Struthio camelus: one gene and its partner. The protein of the gene in region 1 interacts with the protein of each later gene in a pairwise test. Links are inferred from orthologs where the notes say so. Each region holds a gene or a part of one and is shown in the gene's direction. Other genes may lie near its edges. The genes, in order: PRTFDC1 and MCMBP.

Evidence for each region.
Region 2: the proteins of PRTFDC1 (region 1) and MCMBP interact in binary tests that used the Homo sapiens proteins (3 or more experiments, as listed by UniProt). The two-hybrid records come from large-scale screens. The link is inferred for Struthio camelus from reciprocal best matches to the Homo sapiens genes PRTFDC1 and MCMBP.

The regions. Positions count from the first base shown.
Region 1 is NC_090943.1:20,347,688-20,356,531, forward strand, and holds the start of PRTFDC1 (phosphoribosyltransferase domain-containing protein 1), read left to right. Parts: upstream 1-5,040; 5' UTR 5,041-5,066; coding exon 5,067-5,126; intron 5,127-8,844. UniProt on the Homo sapiens protein: Has low, barely detectable phosphoribosyltransferase activity (in vitro). Binds GMP, IMP and alpha-D-5-phosphoribosyl 1-pyrophosphate (PRPP). Is not expected to contribute to purine metabolism or GMP salvage.
Region 2 is NC_090948.1:6,958,948-6,968,325, forward strand, and holds the start of MCMBP (mini-chromosome maintenance complex-binding protein), read left to right. Parts: upstream 1-5,122; coding exon 5,123-5,180; intron 5,181-6,207; coding exon 6,208-6,293; intron 6,294-8,203; coding exon 8,204-8,364; intron 8,365-8,706; coding exon 8,707-8,748; intron 8,749-9,378. Other genes in the region: SEC23IP (SEC23-interacting protein), read right to left, coding at 4,575-4,719. UniProt on the Homo sapiens protein: Associated component of the MCM complex that acts as a regulator of DNA replication.

The DNA.
Region 1 (8,844 bases):
TGCCTGAAGTTAGAACAAGCTATGCTTTGAGCATAGAAAGCACTGTATAATAGTTTGAAAACTATTATCTCAAATCGTACCTCAAAATTGATGAAGTTATTGTTTAATTTAATCTTGCTAGGGGTGATATGGAAAATTCAGATTGCTTTCTAATTCACAGAACTGTTGTAGAGATAAACTAGTACCCCTAGAACTGTTCCATTATTACTTTAAGGGCCATATTAAAGCTCAGGAACCAACATAATAACTCTCTCTTCAGAGGAAAAAAGATTTTGTGCAGTACTTAGGGCCACATGTTCAAGGAAGAATAAACAACCACATTTTGATATTTGTTCAGAGGGAATGGTCTGTTTTGTACACAGAATGATAAAATTAGCAAATGGTCCAAATCCAGCATTCCAGTGCTCTTAGGGAGTGGGCCTTTCTGTGCAGCAATAGAGTTCAGCAGCTGGCCAGCCATGAACATTTAACATGCCTACCCTACAGGAGAACTTGCTGGACTAGATTCTGCTTTTCAATACACTTTTTTTTTACTGCACTGTTTATTCAAGGCAAGCTGTGAAGTATACAAAATTGCATCAAAGAAGACTGAGCTATTTTGGCAATGAAAAATCAGTCACTGTTATCCACTTACTTGTTTGAAACATTCAGAATTCCTCTGCTTTGCAGATTTTGTTCAAATTTGCTGTAGCTTAAAAAAAAAAGTGTGTGTGTGGAGGGGAAGCCAAATGAACAACTTCCTTAGGAAAAAAAACAAAAACAAAACCTCTCTCTAGCAGTTAAATTCAATACATTGGGTGTGACCCACTATAAATTTACAATTTCCTGACTAGTTTTCATGGCCACAAGTGATGAATTTGTCACAGGATATAACATGAAGAGCTTAACTGGATAATAATGCTTTATCATTCAAATGTGTATACTTCTCATTAGCTGGTGGGGACAATATTTCCATAATCCTATGAAATAAATAAACATTATTCTAATATTAAAGGACAAAAGGAAACATTTGTTTGCATTTATTTCAACTATAAAAAAACATTATATTAATAACATAAACCTGAAAAGCAGAAACTGTATCTTCAGGAGCCAGGAAATTGCAAAGTGAAGCTACTAGTTGCTCTAGTCTCACACAGTGAGATGAATAATAAACAAAAATGCAATTTTGTATTAAAGATGTTTATCATGGAACAAATAAGTCAAAATTCAGAAATCCCTCAAGCAGCATCTAATCCTGATTTAAACACCATATTAAAACAGACTGACATCTCAATAGAGGTTAACTGTAATAGTTGAATATTCTGAATTTCACTTTTAGGTCTCAGAAACTGCAGTTGTTTGAAAGCTGAACTTCCCAATGTTCAACGGCATTCTCTGGTTCTGCTGAAATTGAAGGTGGAAAGAAGTTAGATTCCGGCTTGCAGTGCCACTCCATTAGCTGCTTTATGACAGTAGTTGCAAAGGGGAAATTAAACAGTGTCTACGCTACGCAAAAAAGTAGGATGCTACCCAGCTAATCTGCCTAATTGGACAGCTTTTCCCAAAGTGTCCCCAGGTTCTTGAATGTAGGAGAGCAGTTTGAAGTACCACTCCTTGTTGTGCAAGGTGTCTGTTAACAGTCTGGCACATAGTTTTTGCTGCAGTCCCGCTCTTCAGCAGCCACCCTAAGGATTTGGGAACTGCCTCAGGTAATGCAAGGTAACTCGGAATTCTGGAATGTATTAAAGTTGGATATGAAAGCAATTCTAAACTGCTTTCAACATACCCTGAAGTATTTATCTGGTACACTTTACTTTTTAGTATTCTCTTCAGCGATTATCTTTCTTACCTAAAAAGGTAAGCATCTTTCCCTGCAGCAATAGGGGGATTCACCTACCTTGTAACAGCCAACAAATGCCGCTTTATGCTTGATAAGATTGTTTACCGTACTGCTTTTTGTGTAAGAGCTGCAGCAACAGGCAGAACCAGAATAAGAGCTCTTACTTCATCCCTTAATTGGCAGGCTTCTGCCCAGGTAAGCCATACCTCTTGAAATATTCTGAACTTTCATGTTGTTTTTTTTTTATTGTTGGTGTTTACTTGAAATAAGTAACGATAAGACATCCGCTATCTCTTACGTACTGAACTGAGTTGTCAAATCTTTGTTATAACCTCTCAGGAGAAGAATTTATAATGCAATTGCAAAAGCTAACTGGCAACTCCATGATACTGTTTTGTACTACTTTCTCGATATATACTCACCTCCAACCTTCTGTTTTTGTTATTTCTTTACATTATAGCTGTGAAAGGGTGGATACTACATGTGCTGCTTTATGATCATCAGAAGCAGGATAAGAGGGGAAAGGATGTGTAACTGAAATTATAGAGTTATTTTTGTAGAGGCCCAAGGTGTAACTCCTTTCACAAGAGATTTGCATTTAAGCCATAACTCTGCTTTGCTTCTGTCTGTGTCGCTTTTTCCATCTGTTCCTTTATGTTTTTTGGCTATGTGTCCAGACCTACTTGTTAGTATGAGTTCACTGTTCTTCTACTCTATTTTCTTTGTTCTTTTCCCCTTTGATCATTTCCTATGGTTGTATATCTGAAAGTGTTCATTCTTTTCCTACTATTTTTAGTTTGTAAACAAACATGTAAACAAAGATAACAGGAAGGTTCTTCAGAACTCGTACAATCTTTTTCAAAGTTAAGGCTGATAATCCTGTTTTGGCTCTAATTAAAAAGGTTTTCAAAATCTACTGTAAACTTATGAATGGTATGCCAGTTCAAACTGTAAAAGCCTGTGTAAACTTTCGGTACATACATATACCTCCATAGGAAAATCCTTAGCAGCTTCATTTCCATCATGCCCAAAGAACCTTCTATGGGTTTCCAGAAGCACAATTTGTTTTCTCATTTGTACCAAAACTGGAAAAAAAAATTACATTTTATATTATGTCAATGAGTAGTCTTACATGCAGAAGAGCAGTTTGATGGATTGGACTGGTGGCTGTTGATAGCAGCACTACTCTTCAAACTGTACCCCAGCTAAATTTATTTAGTTTTTCATTTCCATATTCCTATTTATTATTATTATTAGCAAGACATGACACTTCTTTATGCTTCTGAAGTGAGCCCAGTAAAACTATTGGAAGGGGAGAATACCAAAAGGAAGGTTTGACAGAACGCAGTCATCCAACCTGGACAGGAAGAACAAACATTTCCTGTTTAAGTTTATCAGCACAATGCCAGAGGAATTTATTTTTCAGTCTCTTGTTCATGATAATCTTTTCCAAATCTCTGAACTACTGTCTGTGGTGTTCTGTCTGTGATGCAGTTAGAATGCTCTCTTGTATTCCTGTGGTCCTATAAAAGACATGGTTAAGAGGCACAAATTCTGTAAAAATAACCCAACAAATTCAAATGGTAAAAGAAACCAGTAGGCATACAGCATTGGCAAAACGCTGAAATTGTAACTGTAATCTAAGCAGCTTTAAAACTGTAGAGCCCAGTTCCGTGATGTTTATGCAGGAGAACTTTATCTGTAACATGGAGGTAACTGAATCAGATTGCATTCACTTTAGGATGCATGTGGGCTTTAGATGGGCTTTCTCCACACCTTCAGGCAAGAAAAATCTTCAGATCTTCAGAAGTGCTTGTTTGTACAAATCAGTGGCATTTGATCCCAAAGTTTAGATGAAACAGTAGACTTTCTTTCTGAATAGTTGTAAGAAATATTGACATGCGTCAGAAACGCAAAAGGATTTAGGGATTCTCCATATTATGAAGATCTAGATATAGCTTACAGAAATAATTTTATTTACTTGATGTAGGTTTTTACAAATCCGTACATGCTCTTTATCAAATTCGCCACCTTTCGCTAAGCTCATTTTAAGACTCTGTGAACAGATAGAATCTTTTTCCAGCACACCTCAGTCTTCATATACGGTGATCGCTTCCAAGACAGAAATACTCTGGATTGAGCCTCTGTCACTCTGTAAACCTGGTCCTTTGTTCTTTCAGCTATGTTGTCAGTTGTGATAGTTCTTGTAAGAGTAGGTCTGTAACCCATTAAAAAGCAAATATTTTGGTTTTTTACAGGAAACAAAGCAGTCATCACAAGATAATTTTAACTGCCACTATAGTTTAATCTGCAGTGGACTGAGAGGCTGTTAGCATTTTCCCCTAAAAGACAGGGTACAAAAAAGATAGAGCAAGTCCATCAATTTTGAGCTTCTTAAATGGAAGCATTAAAGGTAGACAATGATCAGAGTAACCCAAGAGAAGAAGGAAGCTTTCTCAGCTGGCAGGTTGTAAAAGCAAAACAGCAATACTGACAATTTTTGCAGAATCAAAATCATCACAGAATCGGAATGGCCTCCTGAAATGCTCTCCTTTTAGTGAACAGACAGCACGAGGAACAGAGGCGGGCTGAAGGAAACGGGAAGCCACAGCTTATTGCAGCACGGAGGGGAAGAAGGGGCAGCAGTTCAGCAGCCAGCCGGGAAGGAAGGCAGGATTACTGACGTGCTGCAACCGCCTGCTTTCTGGCCTCCTTTACTTCCCTAGGATATGAGCGCAAACCTGCTACAATGTCAGTCTGAACCACACCGGTTTCATTCAACGCAGGCAGCTCGGGACGCCCAGGCCCGCTGCCTGCCTCCGTCCGGCCCCCTCGCCTGCCGCCGCCGCCGCCGCCCCGGGGGGGGGGGGCGCCGAGGCTGCTCCCTCCCCCTGCCGCGAGAACGGCAAAGACACTGCCGTTTCCTTCCCGAGTTCGTTGTTAACAGCTACCCTGTGACGCCTTACGTATGCTTTAGCACGTTATCATCAGTATTTTCTCCGTTAAAAAGAGACCTCTAATGATTAAGCTTTATCTTGTCATAGGAGAAGACGACGGAGCTTGTCTGAGGCTCCTGTCCTCCATGCTTCAGCCTGCGTCGGGAACGTTACTGCCTGCGTAACTCGCGCGGAGAAGGGAAGCGCTGCGGGGCCGCGCAGCTCGGCCCGGGCGACGGGCGGCGCCGGGGGGCGGCGCGGCTCCAGCCCCGGCCCGCCCGCAGCAGCGCCGGGGGCGGGCGCGCAGCAAGATGGCCGGGCAAGGCGGGAGCGGCGCGGCGGCGCGCGGAGGCGGAGGCCGCGGCGTTGTGGTAAATGGACGCGTCCGCCCTGCCCGCGCTGCTGCGCGCCCTCCCGCCTTCCGGGCCGCCTTTCCCTCCCTTCCCCGCTGCCCGCCCACCCCCGGTGCAGCTCCTCGGCCGCCGCGGCGCCCCCGCCGGCCCGGCCCGGCCCGGCCCGGCCCGGCCCGGCGCGGCGCGGCGCGGCGCGGCGCGGCGCCCGGGGCTCCGCTCCTTGCGCCCGTGCCCCGGCCCCGCAGCCCGAGGCCGCCGCAGGCCTCGCCGTCGCCTCAGGGCCGCGGCGCCGCCTGCCGCCCCGCGCAGCCCCGGCCCGCCGGGCCCTCCCCCGCCCCCTCGGTGTCTCCCTGTTCGCTTGTCTCTCTGGAGCGTCCCACCCCACCGCGCCTCGCACGGGTCTGGCTGCTGCAGGAGGAAAGCGAGCGGCCGTGCGCGAAGGCGCTGCCGGGCTCGGGGCCGGCCGGGCCGCCTCGCCTAACGCGGCCGCGCCGCGGGCTTCCACCTAGAAAGCCCCATCCGTCCTCTGCGTCGTCTGCAGCGATGGCTTCGGCTGTTAGATACGTCCCTGCTTGAGTAACTGAGCAGAAGATCCCCAAAGGTGTATGAGTGTCTGGTGCGCACTGGAAAGCTTAGATACCTTTGGGGAGATCTGGGAGCTCTGGTAAAAACGCCCTGCGAGGTTGTCCGTATTTTGTTTTTCTGTAGTAGGAAAAATAATGCATGTGGCCTTGTGTTCTGAGTACCTATTAGGTTGAATAAATTATGCTAAAAGCAAAATATATATATATATATTCATTATTCTGAGGGACAAAGCAGATTCTTCTGTAAAACAGATGTCAAACTCAGGGGTTCTCACCACTTCAGAAACGTTTTTATTTCAGTGTAGTGTGGGTGTTTTAACCAAATTCCAGAACAACAGTCCAAATTGTAGCCCAGAGCTGAGAGTTTTGCTTAGGTAATGGTTAAATCCTGCCTGCCCCAAAGTCCCCTCCATTTCCCTCCTCCCCAAAATGGCAGAATTATGTTTGAGCTGTGCCTGAAGCCGCTGCGTTCCAATTGTCACTTGTGACACCTTGGTAATAAATGCCATTTTTAAAGTGGATGACTGTGTTTAGCACCAAAGCAAACTGGGGATCTTGCAGAGGAGAGGCTGAATGTTCAGAAAGCATGTTCTGCTGTACTGATTTCTCTTCTTTTGTTTGATACACACACGTGCACATGCACCCTCATACCTCTGCCTCCAGAAACCAAAAGTAAGGCTAATGTAGTATGATATAGTTTAAGTTTACCAAAGTTGTAGTTTACTTGATGCTCAGCTCACTTATTTTATACTAAAGCAGAATCTAGGTCTTTGTTACCTAAGTGGAAATATTTACTGTGCTTAAACGTGATGTGCACCCACCTTTTGTACAAAACTAGCAACGTGCTTCCAAAGGTATTGCAGTCGGATTTCTCTACTTTCTCTCGTGTGCCTCAATATTCCTCATATTCCTTCATGCTCCTCATGATGGAACACTTTCAGACGTTGCCATGTATTTATATTTTTGATAGTATACATTCACATCAGCTCTTTAAGTCTGAATTTCTGCTGGCCTGTTTGAACATGCCAAATCTGAACTTAAAAAAAAGCTGTTTGTTGATTTTACTATATGGCTTTTTACACACTTGTATTGCAATATGTGTAGCATATATATCTATATATATTTTTTTCTCTCTTTTTATTGAAGCAGTCACATATATTTTCTTATATATTCTATGCTTAAAGCCAGAAGTAAACAGAAGTTGAGTTTAATTTGGGTTGGGACTTTTTTTGATACTTAGCTATATAAGCTGAGGACAATCACAGATTTTTTTAATTCTCATGTGGAATGCTCTTCCAAATTTACAGTTACCTGAAAATTGTCCTGTAGCATAACACTGTGGACAGCTTCAGGGTAAATTAGAATTCCGAACGCTCGTAATTGGTTAGTGCTTGTTTAAATGAAAGATGAGTGGGGAATAGGCTTATTATATTAGAAAAATAATAAATTGGAATGCATGTGAATTTAATCTTATATACCAGATGCCAGTGAGCACTTTTACAGGATAATTTCGTTATCCTTTCAAATTTATATTCTTTTATTCAAAAGAACCAGGAAGATTGATAGAAAAATCAAAATTTCATCCTAATCTTGTTTCATAAAGGACATACTGTAATTTAAGTAAAAGCTATTGGTTTGTGTGGTTTCTCAAGCCGTTTCTAGTCGTTTAATTTAGTCTTCTACATCTAATCTTAAAAACCTCTAATTTGATGAGAATGCTGCCTAAATAAGCAATACTGACATGGGTTCCTAGTGTGTGTTAATAGTACTTATGCAATTAAAAGGAAATTTTAAATTGTTTCCTTTAAATATTAAAATACTTTTGAACAAAATCATGCCAGACAGTTCATTGCTACAAAATGCTTAAAAAGCGTCAGCTGCTCCTAGGTACTGCACATGAAGATGGGAAAACAACATAGAAAGGCTTGCTAGGCCTCCTGCAGCAGTGTTTTTGTAGCGAGATCTGACCCAATTAAAAACTTTGACAATGAGGGTATGTATGATCTACTGTTTCTATGGAAATGAGGAATGTAACTAAGTAACTCTTCTTTTGTGTCTGTCTAGTTTCAAGGCTCCTATGGATCAATGGAAATACTTTCATTGACTATTGTTTTCTGAATCATGTGCAATATTCAATAGTACTTACCAACAAATAACTTCTTTTGATACAGAAACTATTGGGCGTGCCTAGACTGGCATGACAGTCTAGGCATCTGTAGATGCCAATGAATATGCAACCTCTCCCCAAATTAACCTATTAGATGGAAGACTTTGTTTCAGTGCAGTATTAGCTGGGTAACGTCAAAAAGACTGCAAATCTGGAGGAACAGCTTAACATCTAATATGCTGTGTCAGTCTAGTTATTTTTGAGACGTGGTTTATTGTCCTACTAGATGAAATAGTAAGCATAGGTTAATTTCAGTGACAATTCTTTAAGGAATCCATTTAGCAGAAATGCTATTAAAAATACACTTCACAAAGGCAAGTCTCTCACCTTTTATCTTTCTAATCAATGTTCATGGGCCTGAGCTGTGGAAAGAAGAAGGCAAGTATGTTGCTCAAGGAACGTGATGGTAAAGCAAACCTAATAGGTGTCACTTTTTATTCTGAACCAATCTCAAAACAAGAGCTCTAGAATGATTCCAAGAAGTCTCATGAACCTGGAGGTGTTGTTTTTCATATTGACGTATATGTGAAAATTGTGGATTTGGAGTTTGTTTAGTTTTTGTTTTTTGTTGAAGTGTACTTTGCATCTTCATAGCTTTCTGAAGGCTTTCTGAAGCCTTTGCCCATTGGCCAATTTTTGTCCAACATGATCTCTGTAGTCTGCTGTTGCATTTTATGTGATCTCCTAAGCGTAGTGCTCTGATAGTTGTGAAGCTAACATATTAAATCTGTAAAAGATTTGTTCAGTAAATGTATGGCTTTGCAGATTATCTGATAGTAAAGTGAGATGAGAACTTTTTTAAACACTTACCTTTGGTGACTTCTAAATTAAGGACCTCACCATTCACAAGTGGTACAGTCTTCCATTGACTTGTACAGATGCAGTCTGTGAATCACATAATTTATTCTCCCTTTGTGCTCTTTTGTCTGTAGAATATATATTTATGTGAGATTCTAAAATATCTCTAAAACAGAAATTCACAGTT
Region 2 (9,378 bases), on another chromosome or scaffold:
GTAACATCCTCAGCAACCACAGCTCTTATGTTTCTTTTGGAGGGAAAAAGGTTCCCACTTACAAGGCATGGGTTCACTCTCCTGAAAGATATGCTTCTAGAACTATTTATGGGAGCACAACACAGAGGAGATCACTGAAAAGACTGTTGTTAAGAGATAAGCCTCAAAACAAACAGCATTTTAACTCATTGACCTCATTTCACAGTGCAGTGTCATAAACTGCTGCCTCAGCACAACTGAAGGCTCAGCAGTACACAGCTGAAGTTAGGACCTTCCCAAGCCAACGTAGCAAAGAACCCTGCTTCCAGGACACTGGAATCCCTTTCAATTCCCCCTTATGCCTACCAGGTGCAAAAAGATCCTTAGTCGACTTCCTTTCACCATGAAAACAGCCTCTAAGCACTTCACCTTCCAATTTTTTAAGCTTCCAAGATCAAATTCAGAGGAGCTTAAGAAGATTCCCCAATAGGCCACATCTACTGGTTAAGCAGTGCGTTCTCATCTCCCCCTTCAGAAGGGCCCTCTCAAGATTCCCCATTTGACTTGCAAGGTGGCAAAAACACAACAACCCATGTCATTAGAAAAGCACAGTTTATTTCAGTTCTGTCTATATATCTTATTCTAGAGTGGCACAAGAGCTACATTTCTGGTCCAGAGGAAAACAAGTAACTGCAATAATTCCAGGAGAGGGCCTAAAAGGTGCAATGCCATATGCCTGCCCTTTTGCATCAAAAGGGGAAGTATATAAAACCAGGTCCCGGTCAAGTAGAGTTTTCTGCTTTGCAATGATCCAGTAACAAGCGACAACCAAGCGGTTTGACATTATTATAGGTCTCACAGTAAGCTCAATTGAACCTGGGACGATCTGAGCATCGCCACCCACCTGCTGAGGGAACAGCCTCTTCTGAGCAGCCAACACAATTTACAGAAGTCATAAAAGTGCTCTCATCTACTCTAGCAGTTAAATAATCCCCAGACTGTGGGGAAGAAATTGCTTCGAAGAACGATCATTGCTTCTCTGCTACTCAGTCATTAGCCAAAGAAACAAACTAAACATCCCTGCAGCCACAAGCAGTCAATAACAAATGTCTTTATCTGCAGCCGAAACAGCTAGAGTATCAAGGGAGAATAGGGGAATGCACAGAGAACTCAAACTAGGAAGCTGCTGTTCTAGTTCATTAAATGGAAAACAAATAGCTGCCATCACTAAGACCATTTTAACCATCTGCTTTTATTCAGTTGCCCTTTCAGATGGTGTCAACTGGCCAATGCAGATGATGCTTGGTGTGTTATATTCTATTTTGAGGAACAAAACATCAAACCTATGCATGCAAACGATCTTGTGGAGAACACTAAATTTCATTTATAAGTAATGACCATTATAAACTCAGGCATGTGAATTACCTTCCAAACAGAAGAATAGCCACTTATACTATGGTCTTTGTTTCTAAATATTCTCCTTTCATATTTGATAGACATCATGGAATAAAGAGCAGCGTATCGCATACCACACAGTCAGGTCTCCACTTTCCAGAATGCCCAGGAGTAGAAGAGGTAATACATCTCATGGCAATTTCAGTGCACTGCTACGTGTTAATCATAATCTAAAAAAACGAGTCAAGGCCTTTACCAAATGCCTGTGCACAAAACACCTACTATTCTTCAGTTTCGACTAGTTCGGGGAGATTAAGTGTAACAGCATGTTCCCCTGAAAAACAGGGAGTTGACTAAAGTTCTCCCAAAACAAATGTATGACAACCTTCTGTATCCCTCACAGACATCACCTTCTCATTCACAGATCATCCTCTGACAATCACAAGTGACAGATTTCCACCTTCTCATCAGGAGTACTCTTCTCTATTTAAAGTATATTGGTTACTTCATTTGCATTAGAGCCTGAGAATACCTCTTTTCTCATCAAACTGCAAAGCACAAAACACTCCTTACTCACTTTTAGAGATATAACAGATTTATCAGTGCACAAATCTTCCAGACGTGGATGTCAGAAGCAATTCCCGAGACCAGTTTCCATTACATTTTACACCATTTAGGATTCAAGCTCAATGGCTTGCTTTTCCTTGGTTCAAATTAGGGTTCAAGGAGCAAACTACTCTCTACAGGTAAATCCCTATTCCCATTAGGGAATTAGGGAAGGCAAGGGACCACAAAAGCAGAACACTTAACAGGATTGAGGCCCTACTTGGATAGATACAATGTGTGGCACATCCTCAGCAGGAGACCTTTGGCATTGAAATTGGTTCCAGTTGATTCTCAGCCCTGGTGAGGCCACATCTGGAGCACTCTGTCCAGATCTGGGCTCCCCAACACAAGAGAGACATGGAACTACTGCAGCGAGTCCAGCAGAGGGCTACTAAGACGTTTAAGGGACTGGAGCATCTCTCTGCAATGTGCCTTCTAGACATTCTGTTCTCCTTTCGCTCTACTGTTACCCAGTCAACATACTCCATCCTCTTTCTCATTGCCCAGTCTCAGTTCCCCTCCTTAATCATGCTTCTTCATTTCCTCTACCTGCCCTCAGCTTTCCTCCCCTTCTTCTTCTAGTATCTCCCTGCCCCTTTCTTTTTGGCGTTACCAGCTATGAGAAACAACACATTCCGGTCTAAGTCTACCCAGCCACAGTGAGGCTGCATCTGGAGCACTCTGTCCAGTTCTGGGCTCCCCAACACAAGAGAGACACGGAGCTACTGCAGTCAGACCAGGAGACACATTATTAAGGGACTGGAGCATCTCTCCTGCGAGGAAAGGCTGAGAGAGCCGGGCCCGTTCAGCCTGCAGAAGAGAAGACTCAGGGGGGAATCTGATCAACGCGTACAAGTATCTGAAGGGAGGGTGCCAGGAGGATGGGGCCAGCCTCTTCTCCGCGGTGCCCAGCGACAGGACGAGAGGCAACGGGCACACACTGAAACCCTTCGTCTGAACACGAAGGAAAAACTCCTTTGCTGTGAGGCTGACAGAGCACTGGAGCAGGTTGCCCATGGAGGTGGTGGAGTCTCCTTCCCTGGAGATACTCAAAAGCCGTCTGGACACAACCCTGTGCAATATGTTCTAGGTGACCCTGCCTGAGGTCCCTTCCAACCTCATCCATTCTGTGAAAAACTACGAATCTTCATCTGACCAGCTTAAGTGAGATAGAGACTACATGTTCGATCATAAATTTTGTTATTGAAATCTCATCCTCAGGTCTTCTCCATAGCTAGCTTCAAAGTCATAGAGGAAGCTGACACAGGAAAGCCATCTCTGCAAAGCTACTTAATAACTATTTTTTAAATGAAAAACATTGTATAGCGGCAACAAGAACTATAAGGATTGCACAAGTGGAAGTGGTGCATGTATCAGCTGCCTAGATACCTCACACAGGTAGGAGCGATATTCTAGTACTTTACACTACTCAAAAAGGCAGTTCAGTAGATATTTAAAGAATAAAAATGAAAAAGTGTTTCTAAGCCATACTTAACAAACATGTTTTTAAAATTACAAGGATTTACTTCATTTGTTTCCAGGCATATTAACACTTATCCTAAGTAAAATACAGCACTGTTGAAATCAGCTCTTGAATTCTGGACTCAATATGTGCCAGTCCTGTGAAGCTTAAAAATACTTGATTTCTAGATGCATTTTTACTGTTTAGGGCTTTTAATCTTAGACAGAACACACTTCCAAAAAATCTGTTCCTGTATCTGAAGTCATCTGAGCTTCAGTTTTAAGTTGTACGTACATAGGTTTGACGTACCATCCAGGCTTTGCAAGGAAGTGATATTAATCACCTAGCCTAAGCAAACAAGGAAATTTGAGGTACCTGCTTAGCATACTATTTTCAGGCAGGGAAAAAAAAGACAACGTCAGAGAGTCCTCTGAAGACTATTTATCCTACAAAACTGAAGTAAATGCCACTTTAAAAAAAATGCAATGCAGGAAGCACTGTCTGAACACGAAGGACAAACTTCTTTACCGTGAGGCTATATTAAATAGTCCTCTGCACAGAAGCATCAAAACAAAATTAATTGCTCAAACAAGAATGCTAACCTGTTAACTGGACACACGATAAAGCCTCTCCCCCTCTCTTCAGACACAGCACTAAAACCGAACACTTCAGTATCAAGCCCATGCATGAAAACAGCATACCTGAAGGAGCCTGTCTTCCCTAAAGCACCAACTCCAACAGCTGCCAGTGAAAACCAGCTCAGAAAACCTCACAGCAAAGCGACTACAGCCAAACAAAAAACTCGGCCCTCGCTAGGGAAGGGTCGAGCCAGCGTGAGGAAGGAAGCCCACCTTCCTGTTTGTTGCTCGGCGGACAGCAGGACCGGCGGATCCAAACACAGTTGCGCAACACAAGCAAAGAACAAAAAAAAAGAAAAAGAAAGAAAAAAGAGGAATCGCCTCTCTGTCCCCTCCCCCGCCCCGAGCCCGGCCACGGAGCGCAGCGGCCGCCCCGCACCTCGGGGCCTCCGGAAGGCTCCCCCCGCCCGGCCCCCGGCCCCCGCCGGGCCCACAGCCCGCTCCCCCGCGCCGGCGGCCGCCCCGCCACCCCTCGGCCCCCAGCGCCCCCGTACCCGCCGAGAGGACAGCGGAGTCCGGCGGCCCGGCTGGGGCCTGGCTGACCGGGATGAAGGGCACCGTGAAGTTGAACTCGGTGGCGGAGGAGGAGAAGAGCAGGTTGGTGCCGCCACCACCGGCCCCGGGCTTGGCCGCCGCCATGGCTGCGCTGCTTCCACGTCTCTTCCCTCGCGGCGGCCCGGCCCCTTCCGCCCTCACCGCTGCCCGCTTCCAACATGGCGGTAGCGGCGACGCGCTCCCCCCCCCCCCGCCCCGTTCCGCGCACGGGCGCGGAGAGGAGGAGGAGGAGGAGAAAGCGGGCGGGGCGGGCCTGGCCCAGCCCTGCTCTTCCCTGCCCTGGTGCCGCCGCCATTGCCGCGGCCGCCGTCAGAGGAAGAGGAGGAGGAGGAAGGCGGAAGCCGGGCGCCCCTGTGCAAGGCTTGCGGGCGGGAGAGTGTCGGCGGCAGCAGCAGCAGCGGCAGCAGGGTGCGAGGCCCCGTCACTGACGCGGGGGAGTTGGCAGCGGCCCCCCCCCGCCCCGTCCCTGGGCGAGGCTCGCCCCGCCATGCCGTGTGTAGCCGACTGGCTCAACAACCCCTTCAGCATCGTGCAGGGCATCTTCGGTGAGCGGCGGCGGGCCGGGGGCCGGCTCCCTCTCAGGAGGCGCCCGTGAGAGGCCGGGCGGGCCGGCCTGGGCGGCGGCGGGGGAGGGCCGGGGCCGGTTCCCTCTCAGGAGGCGCCCGTGAGAGGCCGGGCGGGCCGGCCTGGGGCGGCGGCAGGGGAGGGCCGGGGCCGGTTCCCTCTCAGGAGGCGCCCGTGAGAGGCCGGGCGGGCCGGCCTGGGCGGCGGCGGGGGAGGGCCGGGGCCGGTTCCCTCTCAGGAGGCGCCCGTGAGAGGCCGGGCGGGCCGGCCTGGGGCGGCGGCAGGGGAGGGCCGGGGCCGGTTCCCTCTCAGGAGGCGCCCGTGAGAGGCCGGGCGGGCCGGCCTGGGGCGGCGGCAGGGGAGGGCCGGGGCCGGTTCCCTCTCAGGAGGCGCCCGCGAGAGGCCGGGCGGGCCGGCCTGGGGCGGCGGCGGGGGAGGGCCGGGGCCGGTTCCCTCTCAGGAGGCGCCCGCGAGAGGCCGGGCGGGCCGGCCTGGGCGGCGGCGGGGGAGGGCCGGGGCCGGTTCCCTCTCAGGAGGCGCCCGTGAGAGGCCGGGCGGGCCGGCCTGGGGCGGCGGCGGGGGAGGGCCGGGGCCGGTTCCCTCTCAGGAGGCGCCCGTGAGAGGCCGGGCGGGCCGGCCTGGGGCGGCGGCGGGGGAGGGCCGGGGCCGGTTCCCTCTCAGGAGGCGCCCGCGAGAGGCCGGGCGGGCCGGCCTGGGCGGCGGCGGGGGAGGGCCGGGGCCGGTTCCCTCTCAGGAGGCGCCCGTGAGAGGCCGGGCGGGCCGGCCTGGGGCGGCGGCCAGCGGCAGCCGGCGGCTTCCCGCCTCGGGCGCCTGAGGCGCGAGGGGGCGGTGTGGGGGCGGCTCGGGGCCCGGCCCCGCCGCGGCTGCAGGGTTAGGCAGGGAAAGGCGTTCCTGCGGGAAGGGAAGGGGTGAGTTTGAAACGGCTTGCGGCGTGAGGGGAACGCCGGGTAGATGCTGATGCCGCTGTCAACGTGCGTTGTGTCGTAGCGCAAAATGATCCGAGCTCCGACTGGGAGAGGAAGGTGACCGAATATTTCAGAGAGAAGCTGAAAGAAAACAACGCTACTCACTGGGTAAGGTGGTTTTTATTCTGGGAGCGTTGCGCCGGTGCTAAGTTTCGCCCTTCTTGCCTCCTGGTGGCCGTGGCGCCCGGCTTCGGAGCAGCCCTTCGTCGGGAAAGGGGCGCTCGGCCCCGGGTTCCTCGGAAGCGCGCTTCTGAATGTTAGGCCTAGCCTTTGTAACGCGCTGTTTACGTCTCCGTTGGTAGGTAGGTAGGTAGGTAAAAACGAAGATGTAAAATCCTGCCTCAAGCCACTCCCCGTGACTTTCGGGTGGTGTGTGGGTTTTTTTTTTTTTTTTTTTTTTTTTTGGCCTCGGCCGTCGCCGCCGAGCGCCGCCTGTTTGTGGCGCCGCCCAGCAGATGGCGGGAGCTGACTAATGAGTGCTGGTGTTTCCTCAAAGCGTGATAACTAACGGGGGTTTGTGGCCGCCGTGCTGCGGCGGAGGTTTGTACGGCGCCGGGGTCCCGACTGCTGGGCAGACACCCCTCCGCTCAGCGGCTGCCCGTGCAGCGCCGTGACCTCCCTGGGGGCTGATGAAACAGCTGCTTGGTTTTTCGTCTTTGAGGCAGAGCGGGGGCGGGGGGGAAATACCATCTGCCTAAAAACTGTTCTGGATCAGGCCAGGTTTTGAAAGTGCAGGAAGGAAGCTCTCCTTTATTTTTAAAGCTAAGCAGGCACGCTTGAGCTCAAAAGGTGATGCTGTTCTGAAGGGCTGTGGGGAAACGGTGTCGTGGAGCTCTGTCCTAGTTGGACTAGGAGCTCTCAGTGTCGAATCTGTTCTATTTATGATTTAAAAAAACAAATACAAATAAAATTGTTTTTTTTTTTTGTTTTAATTTTTCTGCCAGTGAGAGAGGAATTCTGTGTTTGAGTGTCAAGGACAGTTTAAATCATAGTGTAGAGGAATAATTCTGTTCCTCCAGCAGAACTGTGTTAAATTTGCAGCAGTAGAAGGAATTAAAATAAAAACATATTTTCTTACTCAAGATGAACACGAGGGAGTATGTGAGTTGTTGTTGGTTTAGTTTTTTTGTTTGTTTAAGTCATTTTTACAGGGCCACTTTTGGTTTCATGTCATTTTAACGTTGAGTGTGATATCTTAACCAAGAGTTTATTTTAAAAACCAAAAAAAAAAACAACCTTATAGCAGGTCTCATTATTTTGATTTGTACTATATACCTGGACACCCGTTTTCCTTCTGCTTTTCTATTATCATATAAATATATGCAAAACAAACTCCCCCAGTGTGAAGGACTTTCAGATTAAGATACAATTTTTCTTCCTGTCCTTTTGGAAATACAAATATTTTGTTATAAGAAATTGTGCATGCAATTGCTGCAGTATCACTGATGCATGATGCATGGTCAAAGTGTTGTTAAATGGGAATAAAATAAGTAATAAATTTTATCTTAATATTCAGTTGAAATAATCCCCAAACTAACATTACAATCTCATATGTTGTTAAAGAGTTTACATACAGTTTCAATGAACTGAAACCCGTTTGTTTAGTCTGATATTGGAACTGAGAAATGAATGAGACTAATGGCTTTGCAACTGGAAAAATTTGGGAACTGTCAGTGTATGATAATCGTAACTATTGCCTCTAACAGCTACTGCAGAAACTTCCAGTGGTGTCAGGTATATTGTTACCTCTTGGACTGGGGCAGTAGATTTGGGGGCTAGGTGTGGGGAGAAAAGTACCCAGAAAATACTGAATCTGTTATGTGATGAGATGCTGAATTGTCAAAGGCAATTAATCTTATTGTCAATAAAATAGGCTTTGAGGCAAATAAAGTCAACAGCAGGAAACACTGAATGACCAGAGAATAAATTGGTGACAGCTTATGTGCAGTTTCTGGCTTACTTCAGGGCATTTCTCAATATTTATATAGCAGTTGTTTAGAATAAGCTCTCTTTTTCAGGTTCCGTCACTAAATGATGTTCCCCTACATTACCTAAAGCCCAACAGCTTAGTGAAATTTCGCTGCATGGTTCAAGATATGTTTGATCCTGAGTTTTACATGGGAGTCTATGAAACAGTTGATCCAAACACAAACATGCGTGTAAGTGAAATACTGTTTTGGTAAATGTTTAGCATTTTCTTCATTCCGTTCTTCATGCTTCTCTAGTTTTCTGAGTTAAACCTGTGGAGTCCAGGCACTGTCTAGTATTAACTCTATTTAAATAACTCAAATGGCATCAGTAACGTATTGCTTCGTATATTTCTGTTTATGAAGTATTGAAAACAAAATTCGGAAGGTTATTATTGCAAATGTAATTTGAGGGAATCAAAATTACTAAGGTAATGAAAGTTTGAGCAGTATGTCTTTGAAGGTTTTTAGACTGCAATAAATTTGGTGCAAGTAGTCCATATTCAGGATGTACTGGAAACGGAATAATTGCGTTGCTTTTGTCTTCTTGACAGGTTTTGCATTTTGGTAAATACAGAGACGTGGCAGAATGTGGGGTAAGTTATATGTTTTCTATATCAGATTTCGAGATGAAATATTATTCAGACAGAAAGATGCATTTTTATAAGTGCAGTATAATTTATTTGGCACTCATCAGTGAATCTCTGGAGATGCCGTTCTTAAAATTCCAAATTAAGCCCAGGTTTGGAAAGCAGAGAACTCTTAATTGCTCCTGTGCATGCTAAGTTCAGCAGTCTTCAAGCTACTTCCGTAGTATTTAAAGCTTGTTTTGCTTTTATATGCTGTTATCTGTGGTCGTTAGTTTTGGCCACTAATTCTTTGCCAAGAAGCAGGCTAGTGGAAGTGTTTTTTTGTTTGCTTGTTTTTTTAAGTCTCTTGAAACTTCCTGATATGGCAAACACTTTATTTTTGGTAGTGCAGTGCTATTAGTGTGAAAACATTATAGATTCAGACTCCTTGGAATCGTGCAAGATCGCATACTTGTGAGACGATGGCTGTTGTAACTTCTGGCTAGATACATGGTTCTATGGAATTAGCTAAAAAAAATCGATTGTTAACATCATTTATTTTTGGTATTCCAGCCTCAGCAGGAGATTGATTTGAACTCCTCACAAACAGTAACATGGGAGAGACAGACATTCTACTGCGTTCCAGTGCCTGGCGAA